2 linked regions of the Coturnix japonica genome follow. The protein of the gene in region 1 binds, or shares a complex with, the protein of each later gene. Links are inferred from orthologs where the notes say so. Each region holds a gene or a part of one and is shown on either strand. Other genes may lie near its edges.

Region 1 (4,239 bases):
TGCAGTTCAGAGTGAATCCAGCCATATCCTAATCAGAACAGACCACGTTTGGTGGGGACGTGCTGGAGACCCCCAGAGATTCTCACCTCTTCCCATCAGGGTGAAAAGCAACACTATTTATCGGACCAAAATGACCCTTCACTCTGCCAAACTCTTCTTCAAAAGCCAAGTGGAAGAATCTGGGAGAAGAAAGAGGCAGGTTAGGGATGTCATCAGGGTTTCCTCAGAGAAGCTCTGCAATTCTAGTAACTCTCCAAATGCTGCCAATAGCAAGACGCTCTGGGAGCAGGAGAGAACTCCAAGTGCAGACTCAGCCCTGCCAGAGAAGAGCACCAACCTTGCCTCAAATTTGCCAATCCTGGTGGAGGTCGTGGTCACATCCATGGCCTCCTGCCCACCACCGAGCACAACCTGCATAGGAAGAAAGTCACAACACTGCAGTGCTGCTTACACCATATGTGGAACAACAGCCAGGGTAGGAGGGAGCCCAGCCTTGGGGAAGCCTCCCACTAACCCAGCACAGCCCATGACAGCAGTCAAGTCCCCTGGCCCTGTCCCACAGTGATTCTTTAGCTCAGGCTGAACTGGTGACACTGTGCCTTCCAGCTGCCTGAGACAATGCAGGAGCTGCACTAAGACCGTTAGTATGCGTGGGCTCATGCTTACGTGATCAAAAATGGGGGAGAGTGCAGCAGAGTTCACCGGTCGCTCTGTCCGGAATGTCTTCAGATGTTCCAGCGTTGTGCAGTCAAATAGCTAAAATGCAAAAGGAAGAGAGTGGCAGTCCAAGTATCTCATGCAAACCCCAGCTGCCAGTCCTCACATGAGCAGGTGTTACTTCTAAAGTCACTCCTGGGCATCCAAATGTCAAAGCTATTGCTCCAGAATCCCAAATATCAGCCCTCCCACTAAGCTTTGGCTCTACACCTGCTCAAATTCCCAAAGAGAAAACCACTGAGGCAGCCATGACTTTGAGCAGGGGTCCTGCAAGCGGATGTCAGCAATGCACCGCAGTCCCCCCAGGAGGCCTCACCTTGGCAGTGTTATCCTTGGAGGCAGTGATGAACATGGTCATGTCCCTGGAGGTCTGAATATCATTGATTTGCTTGGTGTGCTCCTTGATGTTTGAAAGCTGCTCCCCTGACTGAAGGGTAAACGAGGCAGTTTAAGTGAACTGGCAAGGAAAGTGTACAAACAACTTCTCTGCTAAAACCGACTTTAGATGTTGCTGTCAGCAGAAAGGTAGGCATATATATGTTCAGCTTTGCTGAAGAAAGCCACATACTTTAACTATCCTTCCTCAAGGCCACTGGTTTGAGCCAAAAAAACCCACATTCTGCCACATGATCACAACAGGAACGTTGCAACATCCTCTCCCAAGAGTTGCTGCCTGAGGGTGATGCTCCTCCTTATCACACTGACCTTGGCACTGAACTGGTTCAGCTCCCCACTCTCGTGTCCTGCGATGATGAATTCTCCCAAAGGGCCCCACACAGCACTAGTGATTTTAGAGTCGCTGCAGGGGATTTTCATGTAAGGCTCGTTGTTCTCTGCAGGAAGGAAGGATGGAGACACACAGACTGAGTGGCACCAGCTCTTGGCAGCCAACGCTTCCCCTTATTCCCAGTTGCAGGCACAGGCCCGGATTCCTCACCGATTTGGCTGGGGTCACGCAGGTCAAAGAAGCTCACAAAACACTGATAACCCATCTGCTTGTCCGTGGAAAACATGATGATGTTTCCTCCAAAGTCAAAGCCACACGTCCTCACTGCCGAGCTGGTCTTCACCAGAGCGAGCTGCTTTCCTGAACACGGAGCAGAAACCATCACTTCACTTGGTCTTGCATTGCAAACATTAATGAAAGCAATCAAACAGAAGTGCAGTCATAGAAAGAACAGGAGCATCAGAGCTGACAGACAGGTTGGGTGACTGGAAAGCACTAAATGTGCTTGGTGAGCAAAATGAATAAGTGCCCATTGAAAATAAGGCAAATACACAAACAGCCAAGAAAGGACTTGGGCTCTTTCAGGGGCAAACAGGCACATGTTGCACAGATCCCAGAACAGGACAGAGCTGAGTCAGATCCAGCCACGTGGGAGAGAAGAGCCTTTACCTGTTTCACAGTCCCAGAGCCGACAGCTGTTATCTGCAGAGCCAGTGAGCACATGTCGGGTGTCCCCTTGGTCAGCAGTTAAGGGATATCAGCACGTTTGCAGCCCCAAAAATCATTAGATACCCAGGGAGTATTTACACACAAGATTAAGAAGCTGCGTTACATTGAGAAATTACAGGACTTGGGAAACTTCCCAAGGAGCACAAATAACCAAGAGATGGCACAAGGGACAATTAAACACAGCAGCTGAATGGAGCCATCCGTGCTGAATCACTGCAAGGAACGAGAGCACAAACTGGTTGTGCACCCAAAGGATACAGTCAGCATCCACACACCACACGGCTCCTGTGTGCCCATTGTAGGTGCCCAGCCGTTCTCCATTCACCGAGTACCAAACGTTGACGATCTAAAAGAAGATAAAAAGGCTTGAAGAGCCGCTCTGACCAATTACCTGAGCTCGTTAATTACCCACCTTTATCCCTCCCCCCCCATCGCACACAGCCCGGTTTCCCGGTGCCCCCGGTTCACTCACGGGATCCTTGGCCACAGTGAACAGCAGGTCTCCCTCTCGGTTGTACTTGATCTGTGTGATGGATCGCTCGTGGCCCTGCAGCAGGATCGGCTTCTGCACGCGGCAATGAGGGAAGGCGCCATTTAACGCTATGCCAAGCGAGGCCGAGGCCCCGGCTGGGGCTCAGGCTGCCACCACCATCAGCCCAGGAGCCCCGCCGACCCCAGGACCCAGCCGGGACCCGCATCAGCCCGGCCCGGCCCACAACCCGACTCACCATGGCGGACACGGCGCTGCCGGAACCGGAGCGAGAGAGAAGAGGCGTGGAGTATCACGTCCGGGTCACGGGGCGCTATGGCGGCCGCCGGTGAGCTTCCGGGTTTGGGGGACGGGCCTCGGGTGGATCCCGGAGGGGCTGAGGGGACGGGGTGGGCTGTGTGAGGGGGCTGCGGGCTGATGGCGGCCGGGCCAACAGCCCCGGGGCTGAGCTGATGTTGTGCTGCAGGGCAGGCCGCCGTGCTGGTGCTGGTGTCGGTTCTATGGGGCAGCACCGGGCCGTTCCTACGGACGGGAGCGGCGGGGCTGTTGGACGTGCAGCGCCGGGGGCTCCTACGGCAGCTGCTGGCCGAGATCAGGTTCCTGGGCTGCAACTACAAGGTGAGCACAGCCGGAATCATGGGGTGTATGGGACGGGCCTTCATGCTCCTTCCTGCACTCAGCACCTCCCATCTATCAGCAAAATGATTTGTACTCTATAACATTTCATCTACCCACCTGCAGTCCTGCTCTTCTTATGGAGAACTTAGACACTTGTAGAAATTAACCCTCATATTTCACATTCAGACCTGCCTGCCTTCTGCAGACATGGCATCCAAGGCTTGCACTGCTTGCTGCAGGCATTGCAATGCTTTTCCATGCAGTGACCTGTCTTCTTTCCGCAGTACATGGTGCCATTCCTGCTGAACCAATGTGGATCGCTCCTCTTCTACCTCACCTTGGCATCTGCAGGTCAGCTCTCACTGCTTTGTCCAGTGGGTTGATCAGGGTTTGGGGAGGAGCTGTATTACTGATTCATTTGGTGATCTGGCTGAACATCAAGTATCATCATCATAGTATCACAGTCTGGTGTGGGTTGGAAGGGACCTTAGAGATCATCGAGTCCAACCCCCGGGATTCGAGCCTCCTGTGTAGCAGAGCGGCACTTCTACCACTTGTGCCACAGGGGGATTCAAGTAGATGTCTTTGAATGAAGGACGCATCCATTTCAAACCGTGTTACAATTGTTCAATTTCAGAGCTGTCCCTGGCAGTGCCGCTCTGTAACTCCCTGGCTCTGATAGTCACGCTGGTGACTGGAAGGATTTTGGGAGAGGATATTGGTGGTAAAAGTAAGTTACGCTTAAAACATTTGGCACGTTGTATTCTGCATCTATTTGTTGTTTTAATGTTGTGTGCTCCCTTCTGGTAACTGCTTAGGCAGTAGTTTGTGCAAGGAAGCTGAAAAGGAAGTGAAACTGACTTGTAAGGGGGTAGAGCTAGTGAATTTAAATTGGCTGGAACTGGCTGTTTTAAGCTAGCAGAACTTGTAGGCCTGAGCCTTCACCTAATGATGTATT
Region 2 (4,271 bases), on another chromosome or scaffold:
CCGCGCCGCCACCTGGCGGGGACGTGCGGGGCTGCATCTGCTCGAGCGGCTGGGGGCTGGATTGGGATTTCCATTCTAGCTTTAACATCAGCAGCTCCCCATGTCAAACAGGATCTCTAATAATTAAAGTAGCCCCATAAAACATTGCAAAAAAAGTGAGGAACGGTTTGAATTCCTTCTGCTAATATGAAGACATATCAACCAATGCATTATACTAGAAATTAGGCTGCCAACAATAGCCGTTCATCTACTAGCAACCACAAGTGAACAGGAAGCAGAGGAGTATCCAAAACACTCCATTGAGGCTGAATAAGGAAACTACCACTTAGTTTTAATTTAAAACCCAGAAGCCACTGACCATCACTACTTCATACTAAAGCCCCAGAGAAATCCTAGTAGCAATTGGATGGACCAGTATGATAGAAAAAGCATTACAAAAGAGATGCAATGATAAAAGGACCAACACAGTAGAAAGGTGCTATAAAGTAAGAGAAGATTGCTCACCTGTATCAGAAAATTCTAGGTTTGCAGCATAAAGCTTCACTAAGGAGAGATCTCCAGGAAAAAACCCTTTACTAGCAGCAGTCAGCCCTTAAATAAGGTCTAAGAGAGGTGCAGGCAGGCTGCATCCCCTCCAGGCACACAGCTGAATTGCCTTCACCTGTGCTCCCAGGGCTGACCAGTCCTTTCCCCAGCTGTTCAATCAGTGGTTCAGGCCGTGACTCAACACTTACCATACAGTCCTGAAAAACACAGATAACCAACAGCCAGCCAAAGCATTGGCAATATGACCATGAGAAATGGCAGAGAGGGAGTTCCATGAACACAGTGAGAGCTGGAGACACAGACCTGATGTTCCAAGCAGGAAAAGAGACTTCCATTCTTTGATACCAACAGATTCAGAAAATCAGTCTTGCTATTCTTTTTCCTAATTATGCTTATCTACATGAAATGCATATTTTATTTTACCTGTAATTCAATGCAATATTTTTAATGTACTCTAAGGGGTTTTTCGCCTCTCAACAAGAAATTATGTTTATTCCCATTGCACAAGCAAGATGAGACGATAGCTACTGATATAGAAATTATATATCAGCTGTGAAGATGCAGCCGACATAACAGCACATGCAAAAGTAATGGCTCAGTGACGTGTAAGGGCTGTAAAAAGAAATCACACCAGAGAATCACAGAATTGTAGGGGTTGGAAGGGACCTCTAGAGATCATCGAGTCCAACCCCCTGCCAAAGCAGGCTCCTACACCACGTCACACAGGTAGCACAGCTCTGCCTTTGGCAGACAGGAGCTCAGCGCTGCGCCAGCCCATGAGGGGGCGGATGCTCACGGAAGTGGCGTATGTGACAGGCGTTCCGATCAGCCAATTGTCGTGGCCGAGGTCTCTCCCCTTTCTCTTCGCAAAATGGCGGCTCCTGCTCCCGCTGTGGCTCCGGTCCCTCCCGCTGCCGCCCCGGCTCCCAGCCCCACGGCTGCTCCCACTACACCCACGGCGGCCGCGCCCCCTCCGCCCTCAGCCCCGGCGGCACCGCCGCCCTCCGCCCCGCTGTCCGCCGCGCTCTCGGGTCCTTTCCCCGGCGGCCGCGTGGTGCGGCTGCACCCGGTGGTGCTGGCCTCCATCGTGGACAGCTTCGAGCGGCGCAACGAGGGCGCGGCGCGGGTCATCGGGACCCTGCTGGGTAAGAGCCGCAATGCCGCAGCCCCCACTGATACCGCCCCACTGATACCGCCCCACTGATACCGCCCCACTAAGACCAATACCGCCCCACTAACCGCTGTCGTCCCGCAGGCACCGTGGACAAGCACTCGGTGGAGGTCACCAACTGCTTCTCCGTCCCGCACAACGAGTCCGAGGATGAGGTACGGTGTGGGGGCTATGGGGGATGTGCCATCGGGGCTCCTGCACCCGCTGACTCGGCTCTGTCCCCTTCCCCAGGTGGCTGTTGATATGGAGTTTGCCAAAAACATGTACGAGCTGCACAAAAAGGTGTCTCCCAGTGAGATCATCCTGGGCTGGTGAGTTCTATGGCCACAGGGAAGTGCGGGCAGTTGTGCAGGTCCCTCAGATACCTCAGATCTGTCATTGCTGTCAGAGGCTGGAAAGCAGAAGCAGCAGTGAAGTCGTGCCATCACTCAGGATAGGAAAGGATGCTGTCGCAGACTTAGAGCGTTTTTGGTTAGTCTAGAAGAGCTGTCACAGACAGGAGGGTTGGGAATGCTCATGGATCTATTAGAATGCAGTGATACAGTCTGTAAGGTAACTAGCTGGAGGGAGAACACAAAAGTACCAAAGGGCTGGTGGGAAACGGTGATGTTAGCCTGAACACAAGGGTGTTCTCTGAGTAAAGGTGGAAATACCTGTGATGGGGTGTTACAGGAAAAGAACTCGTTTGTGCACGGATAACTGGCCTCGTTTGTCTATTGACATCCTCTCTGGCCCCTTTCTATGGAACAAAATCCTACAAGCGCAGAACTCTTGGCTTCCTCAACAACCCATCATGGCACAGCAAGGTGCAGTTCTCATGGCAGTCGCTTTCCTGTGCATGCAAGAAGTTAATTGCGGAGCAATTGAAGGAGCGAGATGAACAAGCCCTGCCTCCTGCACAGGGGTGTTTAATTTGTTTAAGATTTACTTTGCTGGTCCAAATTTGCTTGGCATGCTTTGATTTATAAGGAAATAAAGATTTGGCCCAGAGCATAGTGACAAAAAACTGACTCTTTTTGATGGTAATACAACACTGACCCTGTGCATGTTTTGGGCATGTGTGCACTCAGCCTATAATTCTAGGAGAGCCATAAAACTACACATGACCTAGTTATAATACTAGTCTTTACTATGTGTCTGCAACTCAGTGCTTGGACATCAGGGTTTTAGAATACAGACCTGTTAAATACCAACAAATACTGGGCATTTGAACATTAGAAGAGTGGTCTTTCAACATTTGCTTTTTCCAAGGTACGCAACAGGTCACGACATCACAGAACATTCTGTCCTGATCCACGAGTACTACAGCCGGGAAGCACACAATCCAATCCACCTCACTGTGGACACAAGTCTCCAGAACTCACGCATGAGCATTAAAGCCTATGTCAGGTACATGGGGACAGGAACTGTCTGAATTACTAACAGATATTGTATCAGGATGGCACCTACAGCTTGATAGTGTTGCTTAGAGCCCTATCCAGCCTCGAATGCCTACGGGAATGGGGCATCCACCACATGTCTGGGCAACCTGTGCCAGTGCCTCACCACCCCTATTTTAAAAATGTTCTCTTTTTGTCCAATGTAAATCTCCCCTCTTTTAGTTTGAAACCATTTCCCCTTGTCCTATCACAACAGACTCTGCTGAAGAGTCTGCCCCCCTTCCTTCATATAGCTTCCCCTTTAGATATTGAAAGGACACACTCAGGTCACCTCACACCATTCTCCAGGCTACACAGCCCCAGCTCTCAGCCTGTCCACGTAGCAGAGTTGTTTCATCCCTGGGATCCTATTTGTGGCCCTCCTCTGGATGCACTCTAATAGGTCCATGTTTCTCCTGTGCTGAGGACTCTGCATCTGGATGCAGTACTCCAGGTGAGGCCTCACCAGAGCAGAGGGGCAAGATCACATCCCACTCCCCGCTGGCCACGTTTCAGGATACAGTTGGCTCTCTGGGCTGCAAAGCATGTTGCTGGCTTGTGTCCAGCTTAACATCCATGAGTTCCCCCAGGTCCTTTTTGGCAGGGCTGTGCTCCATCCTTACATCCCCCAGGTTATACTGATAGCAGGGGTTATCACGACCCAGGTGCACTTGGATTTATCAAACCTCATGAGGTTTACCTGGGCACACTGCTTGAGTCTGCCTAGGTCTCTTCAAATGGCATTTTATCCCTCAGACATGTCAGCTTCACCAAGAAGACAGTACTGAACTCATCATGCGCTTGTACTGATAAATGTCAGACCAGCTAGGAATATTTTTGGATGAAAATTTGCAGTTAATAATATACCTGTATTGATTTCCTGTCCTTGGTTATACATGGTATTAATATTGCTGATTTTACTGACAGTGAGTAACCTATTCGTGTTCACACTGTAGTGCTAATAAAGATCATTGAGATGGAAAATTATTTCCTTTCAGATGTGTCCATGCTGAATTTATGTGTTTTTCCTAGTGCCCCAATGGGAGTCCCTGGTAAAACTATGGGCGTGATGTTCACACCACTGACAGTGAAGTATGTTTATTACGACACAGAGCGGATAGGAGGTGAATGCTTTA

What was found.
Region 2: EIF3I (region 1) and EIF3F share a complex: the UniProt entries of both Homo sapiens proteins name them as parts of the eukaryotic translation initiation factor 3 (eIF-3) complex. The link is inferred for Coturnix japonica from reciprocal best matches to the Homo sapiens genes EIF3I and EIF3F.

Annotation. Positions count from the first base shown.
Region 1 is NC_029538.1:4,527,636-4,531,874, forward strand, and holds the start of EIF3I (eukaryotic translation initiation factor 3 subunit I), read right to left. Parts: upstream 3,020-4,239; 5' UTR 2,992-3,019; coding exon of another isoform or gene 2,979-2,991; 5' UTR 2,905-2,978; coding exon 2,902-2,904; exon of another isoform or gene 2,898-2,901; intron 2,739-2,897; coding exon 2,646-2,738; intron 2,520-2,645; coding exon 2,432-2,519; intron 2,180-2,431; coding exon 2,114-2,179; intron 1,805-2,113; coding exon 1,655-1,804; intron 1,551-1,654; coding exon 1,423-1,550; intron 1,145-1,422; coding exon 1,034-1,144; intron 757-1,033; coding exon 667-756; intron 412-666; coding exon 338-411; intron 180-337; coding exon 87-179; intron 1-86. Other genes in the region: TMEM234 (transmembrane protein 234), read left to right, coding at 2,979-2,991, 3,130-3,281, 3,566-3,632, 3,919-4,011. UniProt on the Homo sapiens protein: Component of the eukaryotic translation initiation factor 3 (eIF-3) complex, which is required for several steps in the initiation of protein synthesis.
Region 2 is NC_029521.1:13,754,823-13,759,093, reverse strand, and holds the start of EIF3F (eukaryotic translation initiation factor 3 subunit F), read left to right. Parts: upstream 1-1,395; 5' UTR 1,396-1,417; coding exon 1,418-1,691; intron 1,692-1,801; coding exon 1,802-1,872; intron 1,873-1,948; coding exon 1,949-2,028; intron 2,029-2,968; coding exon 2,969-3,106; intron 3,107-4,167; coding exon 4,168-4,259; intron 4,260-4,271. UniProt on the Homo sapiens protein: Component of the eukaryotic translation initiation factor 3 (eIF-3) complex, which is required for several steps in the initiation of protein synthesis.